Saccharomyces cerevisiae S288C: one gene and its partners. The gene in region 4 interacts genetically with the main gene of each other region. Each region holds a gene or a part of one and is shown on either strand. Other genes may lie near its edges.

Evidence for each region.
Region 1: mutations in PXA2 (region 4) and DPB3 together harm fitness more than expected from each alone (negative genetic interaction), as found in Saccharomyces cerevisiae (2 studies listed by BioGRID).
Region 2: mutations in PXA2 (region 4) and IRC19 together harm fitness more than expected from each alone (negative genetic interaction), as found in Saccharomyces cerevisiae (one large-scale study listed by BioGRID).
Region 3: mutations in PXA2 (region 4) and DAS2 together harm fitness more than expected from each alone (negative genetic interaction), as found in Saccharomyces cerevisiae (one large-scale study listed by BioGRID).

The regions. Positions count from the first base shown.
Region 1 is NC_001134.8:758,470-761,399, forward strand, and holds DPB3 (DNA polymerase epsilon noncatalytic subunit), read left to right. Parts: upstream 1-1,824; coding exon 1,825-2,430; downstream 2,431-2,930. Other genes in the region: tyrosine/serine/threonine protein phosphatase PPS1, read right to left, coding at 1-1,574; PAF1 (Paf1p), read left to right, coding at 2,788-2,930. UniProt on the Saccharomyces cerevisiae protein: As accessory component of the DNA polymerase epsilon (DNA polymerase II) participates in chromosomal DNA replication.
Region 2 is NC_001144.5:71,200-75,208, forward strand, and holds IRC19 (Irc19p), read left to right. Parts: upstream 1-2,209; coding exon 2,210-2,902; downstream 2,903-4,009. Other genes in the region: putative AAA family ATPase RIX7, read right to left, coding at 1-1,947; YLL032C (uncharacterized protein), read right to left, coding at 3,071-4,009. UniProt on the Saccharomyces cerevisiae protein: Involved in sporulation and maintenance of the mitochondrial DNA. Is probably involved in a pathway contributing to genomic integrity.
Region 3 is NC_001136.10:485,246-489,252, reverse strand, and holds DAS2 (putative uridine kinase DAS2), read left to right. Parts: upstream 1-2,808; coding exon 2,809-3,507; downstream 3,508-4,007. Other genes in the region: ATG31 (Atg31p), read left to right, coding at 591-1,181; ATP-dependent RNA helicase FAL1, read right to left, coding at 1,250-2,449; GCV1 (glycine decarboxylase subunit T), read left to right, coding at 3,888-4,007. UniProt on the Saccharomyces cerevisiae protein: Putative uridine kinase identified in a screen for mutants with increased levels of rDNA transcription.
Region 4 is NC_001143.9:85,275-91,309, reverse strand, and holds PXA2 (ATP-binding cassette long-chain fatty acid transporter PXA2), read left to right. Parts: upstream 1-2,523; coding exon 2,524-5,085; downstream 5,086-6,035. Other genes in the region: FAT3 (Fat3p), read left to right, coding at 1-2,026; HYM1 (Hym1p), read right to left, coding at 5,407-6,035.

The DNA of each region.
Region 1 (2,930 bases), on a different chromosome or scaffold from region 4:
TGGCCTAAAATTTGCAAGTCTGATGGAAAAAGGAAAAATGGTCTTGGATGGATCCTCAAAAGAGCGTCTTGTAACGGAATATTAAAGTGGAATATAATATAAGCTGTTAATAATAATGACGTTTCTGTATATCCGTCTTCGCAATACATGAACGTCAATAATTCTTGAACTTGGGATACTTGAAATATTAAATAACAAACATTCAAAAGAATTTCCACAGACTGAATGTTTAAGTTCCCCAAACCTATACTACCTGAGGCAGGGAAAGTCAAATGCAAATGCTCTTGTGATTTTGACGCATCATCGTCTAATAAAAGATCTAGATATGTTCGGATTTTCGTTAACGACGGCATTTGCGAGTTTGACGTACATTTTATGATCAATTTCCACACCTCTTTTGTATTCGGTATGTTATACAGTTGAGAAATGGAGGTTGTCGGATTGTCCGTATCATAATTTAGAGACTTTAAATTTACTATGCTTGTATTCTCTTCGAAACGGTGGGTCAGAGATATATTGTTTTTTTTAATTATTTGATAATTATGCCAATCAGTGGTGTTACCGCAAATCAACCCTGTTTCCTCCAATCGTGTAGCTGAAGTCAGCTTATTCAACTCTAACTTCTCGCACAAAACCATATTCTTATCAACGTTATTGAAACACACTATTTCACTAGGTGACGAACATAAATTCAAGGGAGTATTATTCTTGAAAAATTCGTTGTCTAATAAAGGTGTACCAATCAAAGTTTGAGGTATATCTGTATTGAAATTCTGATAAGTGCAAATAAAAAGATTCGTCTTGTAAAGCGATCCTCCACTCCCTACATAACCCTTTTGAACAAACATTAAACAGATCTGTAAAAGTAGTGCAAGGGTTGTACAATTGGGGCAATTTCCCTCGTGTGAGCACGCTGGCGCTGATTCTGTTTGCATATCAGTGCTGCCACCAGTCCGCGAACAATAAATTACTATATTATCAACCATTTCTATCATCTTGGCACATTGCAGGTCGAACCTTCGGAATAGACCTCTCCTTCCCCAGACGTCCTGCCCACTCCGTTTTAGCGTGGTATTAGACCCAACCTTGTTTCTAGAATACCTTTTAAGTTCTAATGATAGTCCACGAGGATCTACTTTCAGAAATGGTAAAATGCTATGATTGTGACAATAAGTAGCAGCGTTTTCCAAAGCAACATCATCCACTTGCAATTCCAATTGTCGTATCTGAAACTTTAGCAAGTTCAAAAGTTCCTTTGTGTTATTGGGATATTGAAAACCATTAGAATCATTTCCAGTTTCACAGGTATCGCCCTCTCTATGAAAGGAAGTGCGAACTTTCCAGGACTGGAAGATATCATTCACTTCGAGAGAATTACGCAAAAGCGCAGAATTGTTAGCATCTGATTGCGATTTGACTATTGCAAGAGAATGAGGAAAATCGGGTGGTTGACCAAAGGAAATATCATGAGCCCAGGGGAACATTTTTTTACATTCAGGCCATTCTGCATCCTGATGTAGTCGCATAAGATCATGCAGTTCACCAGGTGTGATTGAGGGCACTTCCAAAACCATGGTTGTTGCTCTAGTTTTCTATACCCGCCCCTTCTACCTCAATGACAATCTCTCTTTTATGGTTGGTGTTTCTTTTCACTTTTTTACTTCTTCTTGTACTTTTCTTTTTGAACCTTAAAAACTCTTGCAATTATGTTTCCATGATGCTTTTGAAGTAATAATTTATTTTTATTACGCGAAATTAATGGCCTTAACAACTGCCTGCCCCAACAGATAAAAACAAGCAAGGGTCAACCGTGTTGCAAAAAAAATGTCCAACTTAGTTAAAGAAAAAGCACCTGTCTTTCCTATATCTAAAGTAAAGAAGATTGCCAAATGCGACCCCGAATACGTAATTACATCTAATGTAGCTATATCAGCGACCGCATTCGCTGCTGAGTTATTTGTACAGAATCTCGTCGAAGAATCGCTGGTCTTAGCACAACTGAATTCGAAAGGAAAGACAAGCCTACGATTAAGCCTAAATTCTATAGAAGAATGTGTCGAAAAAAGAGATAATTTCAGGTTTCTAGAGGATGCCATTAAACAACTGAAGAAGAATAGCGCACTCGACAAGAAGAGAGAACTAAACATGCAACCGGGTCGGAGCGATCAAGAGGTTGTTATAGAAGAGCCTGAATTGCATGAGGATGATGGTGTAGAGGAAGAAGAAGAAGAAGACGAGGTATCCGAAGAAGAAGAGCCCGTACACAATGAAGAACTTCTTGATGATAGTAAAGATCAACAAAATGATAAATCCACGCGCAGTGTGGCAAGCTTGCTGTCGAGATTCCAGTATAAATCCGCACTAGACGTAGGAGAACACTCCGACTCTTCTGATATCGAAGTTGACCATACGAAAAGCACCGATCCTTAGTGTTGTTGCTATTATTGCTATGTAATTACTATTCGATGCAATATGTTATACATATACATACACGCAATGAGAACCCTAACCTTGAACTTACTATTTTAAAAGGACATCTCGAAAAAGCTTAGGGATAATTAATATTTTGTAGGTTAGAGCTGTTATGTAGGGAAGAAAAACAAGGGCTTTAAAATAATAATCACATTACACGAATAACTTAATTTGTCTTTCTGAAATGGAAAAAGAAAAAAATGACGACTGTAACATTGGATGAATTAATACTGTCATTATTGATACGTTGTTAATTATAGACAGAAATGTATTCAGTACAATAGAACAGTGCTCATAATAGTATAAAGGGTCACAATGTCCAAAAAACAGGAATATATTGCACCAATAAAATACCAAAACAGCTTGCCTGTGCCACAATTACCTCCTAAACTTCTGGTTTACCCCGAGTCTCCGGAGACGAATGCAGACTCCTCCCAACTAATCAATTCACTATACAT
Region 2 (4,009 bases), on a different chromosome or scaffold from region 4:
GGATTCGGACAAAGAAGTATCTCTTCTTGGCACCAAAGCGTCCAGTTCATCAAAAAATATAACACACGGTACAGACGCCCTTGCTCTAGTAAAAACTTGTCTGATGGACCTTTCTGATTCACCAACGTATTTATTTAATAATTCAGGACCTTTGATTGATATGAAATTTGCACGAGATTCATTGGCAACAGCTTTTGCTAGTAACGTTTTACCACAACCTGGTGGTCCCCACAATAAAACACCACCAGGGGCGCTAATTCCCACTTTTTCATAAAGCTCTGGTCTCTTGATGGGTTGCACAATAGCCATATTTAATTCAAGTCTAACTCTTTGCAATGCGCCTACATTAGCCCAAGTAACATCAGGTACCGTAGCGAACCCTTCTCTCTTTGCTGTTGGTTGAATTGTTGGCAACGCTTTCAAAAAATCTTCGTACTTAATCGATAATAATGATAACTGCTCTCCTGATAAAGGCTCAGGATAATTACGAATAAATTGTTGGACTACGGATAAAGGCAACGGATCGATCATATTCGCAGTGTTCTTCAGGCTAGATTCATCTCCGTTTGCTGTTTCATCAATTTCCATGTTATCTTCTGAACTGTCCGTTGCCGTAGTTGGTGTGGATTTTATATTAGCATAGGTTTGGAAAATTCTTTTAATAGCGCATGTACCGGCAGCAGTAACTAAAGCCTTTAAATCAGCGCCAACAAAGCCTGGGGTTAATTTTGCCAATTTGGCAAAATCGATAGCACCATCAATTTTTAGGTTATCAGACATTTTCTTTAAAATATGTAACCTTGAGACTTCATTCGGGACATTCAGGCATATTTCTCTATCGAATCTACCTGCTCTTCTCAATGCTGCATCCAAAGAGTCAGGTCTATTCGTGGCACCTATGATAATAACAGGTTTTCCATTTGTCTTTTCCATCGTTAATTCATCCATTGAGGTCAATAATTGGGCAACTATTCTTCTCTCCATTTCTCTTTGGGCTCCTCCATCACGTTTTGGTGTAATGGCATCTATTTCATCAAAGAAAACAAGACATGGTGCCAAGCTTCTCGCTTCATCAAACAAATCCCTAATCTTTTTCTCGCTTTCCCCAGACATACCACTTACGACTGAAGGTGCAGAAATAGATATAAATGGGACTTGTAATTCTCCAGCTAACGCATTAGCAATCGACGTCTTACCGCAACCCGGTGGGCCATGCAACAGAACACCTCTAGGTGGTTCGACACCCGTGGATAAAAATATCTCTGGATGAAGAATGGGTAGACCTATTAGTTCCATAAGTTGTGCAACGACATCATCCATACCACCTAAGGATTTCAGAGACGAATTAGGTGGAGATCTATCTTCCTTGATTTTTTGACGTTTTACCTTACATGTACCTTCTTTGGATCTTTTTTTAGATTTTTTAACCTCTTCTGTCTTAGGATCATCAGTTTCTGTTATAGACTCGGAAACAGATCCAGATTTGGACCACGTGCTAGTTATGCGTTTGTTCATCTCATTTGTGTCTCGCTCAATCATCATATTTTTCTTAGCTAGTTCTTCTTCCAAGCTTGGTTTCTCTTCCTCTTCGTTGTTGTAACCTGGGTAAGAACCAAATTCTTCCAATTCTGATTCAATCACGTCTTTTAGCATGCGGTCAATTGTCTTTTGTAAGACAACTTTCTTAACTCTTTGAAGTGATAAATCTTTAGTCAAACAAAAGGTAAAAATCTCACCTGCTGTTAAATCTTTAGCGAAAAACATGGATTCAAATATATCCTCATCTTCTTCACCCTCGTTGTTCTCGCCCTCTTCTCCTTGGGATTCTTGTCTCAGAGACCTTTTTCTGTCCAAAGTTTTTTCTTCCAAGAGACGATAGATAAGATCGACGATCTTGTTATCTAGAGAACTTGTTAATGAGTTCTTTTTCGACTTTACTTTAACCATTATTCCAGCCTTCCCACCACGTAGCTATTATCGGCCCTAATGATCTTTTATTCTAACTGACTCGCAGATTAATTCACACATCGGTTGTTAATCATTGTTTGAATTTCCAAAATATGCGATGAGCTGAATGAAAAATTTTGGAACCTGTCACTATCGACGAACATCGAAGTTTGCCATGACAACCATATATGAAGAAAGCTTATGAGACTAGCTCGAGTATATCATACGTATGCATGTTAATCGCAGTTAAGCGGATAACACAATGCGTAAGCCTTCTATTACGATAACAACAGCAAAAGCTATTATAACTCCAGACTATACTCTTATTAAATCGCATTCTAAATACCAACTTCCTTCACGTTTTCAAAAGCTAGATGCAGACTCACCTGAGAGAAGTACAGTTGTTAAGCTATTTTACCGCCGATTTATGAGGCTTAAGCCTTTCATATCGAATGTGAAAATGGTTAAAGATACTTACAGGGATTATGTTCGATATAAGTTTATGAAAGAAAACTACGAACTCAAACGATACTTGGTATTCAATCCTGATGGCTTGAGGTCGAAAATCAATCTTGAGCTTCTCAGCAACACGAAATGTTGTGAAAGGATACTCCCCGTGACTGAGATGCAAAGAACCTTGGAATTTGTTCTGAAGAGCTGTTCATACTTGCCCGAAACAAAAGTTCAAAAGTGGGATATTGCAAGGGACAACACATATTGCAGGCAAATTTTAAAGAACCTTTTAACAATGCAATATGAAAAGTACAGATCGATTTTGCATAGAGGAATAGGCCATGATGAGCTTGACGTCAAATTCTCTCATTTGAAAACTACTTCTAGTCCGCTAACTAAGCTAAATAAAACCGAAAAGAAAAAGATTCCGCTTTTCAAAGTATTTAGTGATTTCGATACAACATTGATATATCTCAATGAGACATTAGGTACAAGGTTATAAAGATCATTATCGTAAAAGAGGAGCGGAGCGGAGCTTTTTAGTATGTATGGTAAAATATCAATCAAATACTGTAATAGATGCGGATATGCGCAATGACATATTTTGTGGTGTGCATATCCATTGAAAAGGTGCGTAGAACGTTACAATACTACTGAACTTTTTTCCTTCTCATTTTCTGCCATTTTGATATTTATGCCTATTATTGGTTTGAGCTTTATTAGAGTTGGCATAATTATAATCGTACTCGTATGTATATCCGTATCCATACCCATATCCGTTGTAATAAGTGTTTGGTATATATCCTTTGATGGCTTGGGCTCCTCCTACCGTCGTTATAACAGGCATTTTGTGGCGTTGTGGTGAGGCTCCTGATTGGCTGGTATTATCGATGGTCGTACGACTTTTGGCATTATTCATTGATCTGAAATTGCCATTGGTATTGCTATTACTGGTGTTACTCTTGCTGGAGGCAGACCCTAGAACAAATTTTTTAATTATTTTTTTAAATATTATTTTCGTCTTTTGTGTTTCCAAATAATTGGATAGTAATTCGATTGCTTTTGTTAGAGTATTCTCATTAGTATCCTTTTCAAAAGTAAAAGTGATAAGGTCCTTCTCAAAAGTTACAATTATGTTCATAATTTGCAAAAATGGAACAACAATTAGGTTATAAAATTCGTATTCTTTATTGGGATCTATCTCTTGATCTATTTTGAACTCGTATTCATAACCAAACGCACTATTAACCAATTCGTTAGCGGCTCTTGATGCATTCTCATCATTTCCTTGTATACTCAATTGAGATGTTCCATCCAAGGGCTCTTTTAACGGTATCATTATGTAAACATTTTCGTTCTTTTCGATTTGTCCTATAATATTCTTTTGGCCGTTAACATGCAAAATATGTCTATATTGCCCACTAGAAAATCTAATGAGCGTCTTCGATTGTAAACTATCATATTCTTGAACAATTTGTTTTAAATCATTCTTGGCTAGGCATATATTAGCTTTGTTTTTCCTGGGGCACCTAATTATCACATTATCATACCTGATCATAGAAATTTTATTTTGTGGAAGATTGAAACTATTGGAAAACTGAATGAAGAC
Region 3 (4,007 bases), on a different chromosome or scaffold from region 4:
CTTTTTTGTTCTGCTGACCATACTTACTCTAAGGAAAAAAGTCAAACATAATGTCCATCCTTATCAGTAATATGTGAAAAATTCGCCATGCTGCAGCTAATATCACCAAAATCAGTGTATTTTTGACTCGATACGTATTGTAAAACGTGCCCAGTCCTGCATCTGCATTTTCAAACGGTGTCGTCGACACTGTAAAATAAATCTGTCCTTTGAATTGCAGGCATAACTTGAAAGAAATACACACTTTCGACATATAATAGGCGAACAGGCCTTAAAAAAATTAGTTTAATGACAGAAGCACCACTCTTGTGGATTATCCTGAAAAAGTTATTTTACATTTAATATAGCGATATTGGGATTAAGTCATTTCCAATGGGTTTCCGGTCCAATGGTCCAGTGGTTCAAGACGTCGCCTTTACACGGCGAAGATCCCGAGTTCGAACCTCGGTTGGATCAGAATCTTTTTTATCGTAAAAGATAATAATTTGAAGTACATATCCATAATATAAGGGTGGTCAATATCCAAGATAAACGTCGCATTCCCATTTTCTTATTAAGCCGGTAAACATTGCTGAAATCTGCGAACAGGAATGAATGTTACAGTTACTGTTTATGATAAAAATGTCAAGTACAGATTAGAAGAGAATATCAAAAATAACAAGGGTCCCAGCAACGATGATCAACCAGCATACAATAATGAATCAAAGAGCACGGACGGAAGTGATTATGCAATGTTTCCCACTAACATTAAGTACATATTTGAGGACAACAATGATGAACTAGTAGATTCAAGTGATGCTGCTTTGACAGCAGGAATAGATAAGGTCGGAGATGAACTTGAAAATGTCATAATTGTCCAATTGGATGAATCGGGATCTCTTGAGGATATCACACTAATCAGCGACCAATATGAGCTTTTGTCACATAGGACAAATAGTCTCAGCTTGGAGGAAAACCAAATGAGAACATTATCATCACATGGTGATGATAAATCTAATGATGAAGAGGAAGAACTTAGCGTTGACAGTGATAGATTCAGAGTGGACTCGGACATTGAGCTCGATGTAATTTCACAATTTTGCGATCTGTCTCCTTTTCTTCGCGATTTGAGTTTGAATGACTTAATTAAACTCTACGTCACACAAAATGAACAATTACAAATGCTCTCCAATTCCGTATGAAAGCAAAAATGAAGCCGCATGGATGAGACTCTCTTAACTTGTTTATGTAGGTATATGTTCTCTATATTTTATGATAATTCTGCAAAATTTGCTGGCATCGGATTTATTTTGATAGAATAGAATTTTTCAATTTCTCTAAGTTTTGCTAAATCAGCTTTGGTAATGAAGTTTATAGCCACACCCTTTCTACCAAATCGACCACTTCTACCGATACGATGGATGTAATTTTCTATTATTTCTGGTAGGTCATAGTTAATGACTAAAGAAACTTGTTGGACATCAATACCGCGCGCCCAAACATCCGTCGATATCAGTACACGAGAATGACCTGTTCTAAAATCATTCATTACTTTATCTCTTTCTTCTTGTTTCATATCACCATGCATGGAGACTACAGCAAAGTTTGATTGGATTAGCCGCTGAGATAACCAATCTACTTTTTTCTTGGTGTTACAGAATATCACACATTGTGTAATGGTCAAAGAATCGTATATATCACACAGAGTATCGAATTTCCACTCTTCTTTGTCAACATTAACGACATATTGTTTGATACCTTCAAGTGATATTTCATCCCTCTTCACTAGGATTTTAACTGGATCATTCATAAATTTTCTGGTTACTTCTAAAATGTCCTTATTCATTGTTGCGCTGACAACAACAACTTGGCAATTTTTAGGCAATTTTGCAAAAATATCGTATATTTGTTGCTTGAAACCTAGTGTCTCACTCAATAATTCATCAGCCTCATCTAAAACTAACATTTGAACATTTCTTGTTTGCAACATTTGTTTCTTAATCATGTCTAATACTCTTCCTGGTGTTCCGCTAACGGCCTGGCAACCATGCTTTTGCATTTTCTTCAGGTCGTCTTTCAAAGTTTTACCACCTGTAATGGCAAATGCATTGACATTCATATAATCCCCTAGATTTTTTACTACTTGCCCAATTTGGCTTGCTAATTCACGTGTTGGAGATAGTATTAGAGCTTGTAAATCTTTCTTCCTTAAATCAATAGCTTGTAAAAGGCCGATTGTAAAAGTTGCTGTCTTACCTGTACCTGATTGTGCTTGTGCTATAACGTCCTTGCCCGAAATAATCTGTGTAATAGCCCTTGATTGGATAGAGGATGGTGCTTCAAAACCGTATGAGTATATTCCTCGAAGTAAGTCATCTTTTAGATTCATGCTTTCAAAAGTAGAAGACACCTTTAATTTTTTCGATGTTTTAAACTTCAATTTTTGGTCTTCTTCTCTGTCAAACGACATGTCTAATGAGTTTTTTTTTTGTTTCTGTACGGTCTATTTTATTTGAGTGAACAAATTTTTATACCTCTTGAAGGAGTGGTGGCCCTTTTATATTAAAATTTGTGTATAATTCATGTTTTTATTTTGTCTGGGCCCTGCTATTATCTAGCTCATCGCATAAAATAAAATTTTCAAACTTCGGCATAAATTCTCGACACTGATAGAAAAAGCAGATCAAATAGTAAGCAACTATGGATTGTACGCTGCCATCACGGATAATTCAATTTATCTGTACATTTTTCCTAGAGCATACCACAAGGGAAATCGTTTTTAATTTTCGTTTCCTGCATTAACAATTAGCGAGATAAATATTACAGGAAATGGACAGAAAAGCTGTCGAAGAAAAAAGAATTGTTATTTCTATCGGTGGAGGGCATGCTACTGGTGTTGGAGCAATTGCACTGGATTTACAAAATACTTTCAAAAGCCTATATAACTCTATCAATATAAGGGTAATAAACCTAGATAATATGATAGAAGGGAACATCAAGAGCTACAATAATAACGACTATGATTTTGATAATATCCTTAATTTGGTATATGAAAAGCACGCTGTAACTTCTCAAAATGACATGATTCAACATGATTACGAGGACCCGATAGATTTGATAATAGTATGTGGCTGTTATGCGCTATACGATAAACGCATCAACGAAATATCTCAATTAAAAGTATTCTTGGATAGTGATGCAGATAAAAGATTAATTAGTCTAATCAAGAAGAAGAACGTAGGGAGCAATGAACAACTAGCCCAGTTGATCACTGAGTATATGGACCATCTGCGCCCGGAGATGCAACAATATATAGAGCCCACTAGAACTTTTGCAGATTTGATCATTCCTTCTACAAATGAAAATCTAGGGCGCGCAGTCCTCGTGGACGGTATAGTTAAAGCAATCGAAGATACCAAAAGCCAAATAGAAGGCAACAATACGAACAACAAAATACGCCCACGTTTATGGGATTTCGAAGCTGAAACAATGGACTTGGAGAAAGATAGATATTACGATCTGTCATGAGGTCCTTGCCTTCTATATCTGCGCCACTTTTAATCGGCTCGATGCGACTAACATCCGTATTTACCCACACAAGCTTATTGATTTTTTTTTTGCATTCTTGGATCTCGATGGGCGCTTTTACTCCATTAGAACCATGCTCACGGGAAGCTGAGTTCTTACTTAGAGCTGGTCATAGATATCACCTATTTTGTTCATCGCCGTGACTTCTTTCGGCAGGGCGACTCTGCTCAGGAGCCCTGACTCGTGTTGCCTCGAGTAAACGGTATGTCAAAAAGAATAGGTCCAAATATCATATATATAGCACCTTGAACCCAAACAAATCCAATTACAGTACCCGTAGCTCACATATGTAGAAAGAGCTTTGCCTGGCACAAGCAATAATGTCTATAATCAAAAAAATTGTGTTTAAGAGATTCAACTCAACTTTGAAAAAAACTGCTCTTCATGACCTTCATGTGTCATTAGGCGGTACAATGGTACCATACGCAGGATATTCCATG
Region 4 (6,035 bases):
AGGGTCCGCTTTGACGGCTCCGAACAGCTCCTTGGATGATATTTTTGGCGCCATGAAAAATATTGCTGATACTCCCGCGCTGACGCCGCTATTGACGCTTTTGTCTAATGCTGACAACACCACAGTAACCATCGAATCATTGACCGAATTGGCTCCCTTAGCGATCAGCGGCAATCCTGCTTCTAGCACGAGGCAGTTGACAGAGATTAATGGGCTGCTGAAGTATTCAGACAACGCAACTGAAACACTAGATGGCCTCTCAAGGTTAGTTTCTGCTTCGCTGTCTTCCGCAAGCTCTAACTCTTCCAGTGACTCAACTACTTTGGTTCTGGACTTATTAAAAGACTCCGATAACCCACAGAATTCCACAGATGCATTGCTAACTCTGAATAATCTGACAATGTCAGAAAAGGCGCAATTGTTACCGGTATTCAGGCTATTCGCTTTCTCCACGAACCAAACAGCTACAATGACGGCTCTGGCGACCTTGATGAACACTACTATTTCATCTTCTTTAGCCCAAACACTATTAACTCAGTTACAAAACACAATTTCAAACGGAGGTTCCCTAAATAACACGTTTAGTACTTTGCAACCACTAGTGCCGCAGGCAAGCGCCCCCGCATTTGATGCAGTGGAATTGCTGCTAAACCAGACCACCTCTACAAATCAGACATTGAGCACTCTATCTGATTTGCTGGAACAAAACCTCACTCAGTCATCATCTGCAAAAAAGGCGTTTGCTGCCTTAACCCAATTGATGGAAAATTCGGACAACTCGACAATGGTTGTCACTTCGGTCCAATCTCTAGCTGCGGTGACAAATACAACTCAATCTACTCAACAGCTAATTGGATTAGATGATGTGATAAGCTCCTCGAGTAACACCAACGAAACTTTGTCCATCTTGTCCGAATTACAATCGGGCCTATCCGGTAATTCAAGCTCCGTACAGTACATTCCATATCTCTTCAGTCTTTTAGGGGCATCCACTGATCCTAAAACAACATTTTCATCTTTAGTGACGCTGACTTCCTGGGCTCAAGAAAACCCTCAGACCTTCTTGCCCATTTTAGATATATTAGCGGATGCCAAATCCGTCCAACCGATTTCCGCAGAAGAATTGAACGCCATGACGCCGAATATACTAGAGTATCTGAAAATTCCGATTTACTATCGCTTATCCATTTTCACGCTATGCCATGCTAACCTGGAAAACAAGATCCTAGATTGTAACTCCCCACATGCTGTACAAAACTTGGATTTTAGATCGATTATTTATGACGCATTAGTCACATCAGACTTCCAACCATATCTGAACGCCCTGAATATTAGCGCCAACGATCTTTACCTAGAAGGGAAACTTTTACACAGAGAGCACCAATATGTGCCAGCAGTGAGGTCTGTTTTGGCTTTGAACCTCTTAGCGATCATCTTTTCCTTCTTTACCATGATTTTTATTATATTACTGTACTTTAACAGATATATGTTCAAACAACCATTATGGCTCATTGCCCTAGCTCTACACGTTTGCGTTGGTGTAGCCACTGTATTGGCAGCCATTATCATATCCGTTATGATTGCCATTATAAAGAGCGGTACGGCAGATGATAAATATGGTGTTGTGTTTAAAGCCGGTCCCGCCTATACAGGGCTGATATGGACAGCATTTGCGTTGTCTTTTATCGCCACAGGATTGATAATTTATACGTGGTGGAGGAACAGACGGAGTGGTCGTTACATGTCCGGATCTGTGACGAATAGGAAAGGCGAAATTTACACGTATGGGGATGGTTCTGCCATTTCTGCAGACCGTTTCGGCGACCATAACTTGGGTGATGATGATGATGCTGATTTCGAAAAACAGGTGAATCGTAATGAAATAACCGCTATCGACAACAGTAGTTCTGCCAATAATACAGATGTCACAGGTAGTACGAGTAATAGAACAGAGCTAAGTCACCCCGACGTGACACCAAAAGATTCAAATGGACCTGTTAACAATAATGCACATTTGGTAGCATAATTTTTTTCTTTTTCGTAAATGCTCTATCACTTTTTTTCAATTGTACCAAACCATTTACAGCGTTATCTTAATCTCTTATATTGAATTATAGTACATACCACACCATCATCCTTATTTAATAGCTTTATTTAAATTTCAAAACAAAAATTAATAATAATTTGGTAATTATTCATATTTTTGGAATATATGCAATTAATGTTCTTTCGTCTTTGATGTATATTCCTTCGGCGTTAATTACAACTATCACCGTAAAGTTTTTACCACCCTCCGAAAGATTAAGGGCGGCAATGAAATGTGGAGTAAAGTGAATGTTAGATGATGATATTGATGGCTTTGCTCGATCAAAGATAATATTATATTTAAGTATCATCTTGTCCTCAATCCGGTACAAAACAAACGTCTTCAACATTGTTATCTGTATTTTGTTCGTCTTGAATATGGAAAAGACTCAAAAGGGATAATAATACAATTAAAAGTTACCGAAGAAAGATTTTATAATGATCTCAACAGCTTCTGCATTTTATCAGAAGCATAGAGTAAATTTACTGCGTTCTTCATACATAATATTGTTGCTAGCCACGCTTTACAATTCAAATTCCAGTTCTAGTAACAACAAAACTGATAAGAAGGATTCTGAGTCAACGGTTTTAGAAAATAAGAAAATTGAAGAGGGAAAAGAAACCGCAGTAGATAGAGAGGAAGATGAAAGTAGCAAAGAAGAGTTAACGATAGTCTCCAAACATAGCACAGATTCAGAAGATGGTGCAATAATAATTGATAAAGAAAGCAAGACTAATCATAAGGGGGGAGAGCGAAAAGGAAAGGTAGATTTTTTGTTCAAACTTTTGCTTCATGATAAGAAGTGCCTCATTTTATTTATTACACAGGCTATTCTTCTGAACATCAGAACATTGCTGTCTCTTCGTGTGGCTACTTTAGATGGTCAATTAGTGTCCACACTAGTAAGAGCTCAATACGCAAACTTCACAAAGATATTGTTGGGGAAATGGATGATCCTTGGAATTCCCGCCAGTTTTATTAATTCACTGATCAGTTACACGACAAAACTTTGTGCTGTCACTATTAATAGGAAAGTTTCAGACTTTCTACTCTCAAAGTATCTATCTAATCACCATACTTTCTATTCCGTAGCTTCTGCTGAATCTGTTTCAGAAATTCAGGATAATTTGACAAAAGATATTTACACATTTTCAATGAACTCGTCATTATTACTGAATCAGCTATTAAAGCCAATGCTGGATTTGATCCTCTGTTCATTCAAATTATTAACCTCAAACACTAGTGTTATGGGTGAAGGAACTTTGGCACTGGGCTTAATTGTCTACGCCTCCAATTCATTACTAAAATTGATTCAACCGAATTTCACTAGGTTAACTATGGCAAGCGCATCTTTGGAAAGTTGGTTCAGATCTTTACACTCGAATCTACATTCAAGCAATGAAGAAATTGCACTGCTAAGAGGGCAAAAGAGGGAACTAGAAAACGTTGATTATTCATTTTACCGTTTGGTGCTATTTTTAAACAGAGAAATAAAGGCAAGAGCTATTTATGATGTTGCTACTGCATTTGTCATTAAATATACTTGGGGCGCAGCTGGCTTGGTACTATGCTCGATTCCAATATTTTTCAAAAACAAACCTAGTGAAGACACCTTACAGCTTAAGGAACCCGGGAATGATATGACGGCTGATTTCATCACAAATAGAAGATTATTAGTCACTGCATCTAGCTCTATCGGAAGATTTGTGGAACTGAAGAGAAATATACAACAATTACGCGGTATCAGATTGAGATTGAACAAGTTCAATGATTTGTTGGATGCTAATAAAGGTGATGACGAAAAAGAACCAAGAGATGAAAGGTGTATAGTGGAATATGATGATTCAAGGATAAAGTTTGAAAATATTCCTTTAATAACACCTGCCAATCAAGTTCTAGTACCGGAGCTAAGTTTTGATCTGAAGCATGGAAATCATCTACTAATTATTGGGCCCAACGGTTGCGGTAAATCTTCATTATTTCGTATTCTAGGCGGGCTTTGGCCGATAAGGGCGACTCCCAATAAAAATCATCAATCCAAGTTAATAATGCCGCGTAGAACTGTGGATAGAGATTGCGCAATATTTTATTTACCCCAAAGGCCGTATATGGGCAATAGGTCGACATTCAGGGAACAGATTATTTATCCAGACAGTATTGAACAATTCAAAGAAAGATATCACAATGATTATGATCTAGGCGATGCAGATTTAATAAAAATTCTGCAATTATTAGATTTGGAGGATTTAGTCACTGAAAATATGTCACTTCTGCTGGCGCAAAGGACTTCCAAAAATGATTCACAGCAGTTGTCGACGGAAGACAATCAGTCACCATGCGCCATTAAAGTTCGTGATGCATTCAGTATAGTAAGAAATTGGTCCGAAGAATTAACAATTGGTGTCCAACAAAGGTTAGCTATGGCAAGGATGTACTATCATAAACCCAAGTTTGCTGTGCTCGACGAATGTACATCTGCAGTAGCCCCAGAAATGGAACAAAGGATGTACGAAAATGCGCAAAATTTTGGTATCTCGTTAATATCAGTTTGCCACAGGACAAGTTTATGGCATTTTCATAACTATCTGTTAAAATTTGATGGTAAAGGCGGATACCAATTTGGACCGTTTAACCCGAAGGAAAGGTTATGTAATGAAGAAAAACTTCTTGAACTAAATGCCATCTTGGATCAACAGGTGCCACTTTGGGAGCGGAAGTTGAAAGATCTGACAATTGCTAAAGAATCCAACATCATTCGTAAATCAGAAACTAACCTGAATCTTTTTGAAAAGATCGAAGATCCAAAAACGTCCAAATCTAATGCATTGTTTAATGCAAATAAAGGGCAGCGAATCACATCACCTACAGGGCAGGAGACTAGTAAGAGATTACCACTATTTTCCCAACCATCTAGTTCAGCATCATCAAATTTACTAAGAAACAATAAAAGCTTGAACAAAAAAGTTAAAACAAAAAAGGAAGAAGGAAAGGAGAGGTAACATACATAGCCAAAGGAGGATCCAAATCATGTATAAATTGGATAAATAAATTGTTTTATAATAATTTAATATCTTGAGAAAGCGCTCATATTTACGGTTGATTGCTCAATTCCATGTACCGGATCCAACTGTACTGGCTTCCTCAGCCTCCGGTACCAACCTTTTTTTGTATAAATACGTAAAAATACAAAAGTCTGAACTATTTTTCCCTTTTTATGCAAATAAACACTTTCCTATATATAATTTTACTTTTGAATATTCATGTCACGACCCACTGCCTGAGAACTTTCCATTTTTTATAAAGTGAACCAAGTTTTATAGTTATCTTGAATCAGGTGAAGTTGAATGTGTTAAGATGGATGATTGATTGTTCATTACTGATGATGGAGAAGTTATACTGGCGACGTTACTTGAGGATGCATTATTATTAGAAACTTCTGTTGTGGACGAAATTATACGCGGCAAGGAATCAATTTCTTGAACGATGAATTCTCTTTCATCAAGAAAAGTAGAATCCTGAGAATCTAAACCGAAAGTTTTAAAATACGTCAATAGTTTATCTCTGTTTTTAACAAGAATGTCAAAAACAGGTTTTGACTTCCTTGGGTTTGCTACCATCACCTTGAATACGTTGAAAGCTTCAAGTTGTAAGTTTTTAGATTTGTCAGTCATTAAAGTCATTATGAGCTTTAAGTTTTCTGGGGAGTTGATATATATATTCATCAACGCGTTGTTAGATCTTATCACAATTAATGAGGCCAACAGTTTAGTGCTCTGCCTTTTCGTTACGTAGCTTCCATGAGCCATTAACTTGTTAATACATTTAATGAATCTTATGATATTAATCTCATTACTGAAGAATTCCTTAGACACTAATTTAGGATGTGCAGTAAATGCGGCACTTAATATTTGTAAAGATTCCGTACTGATTTCGAAATTACCCAGTTTCG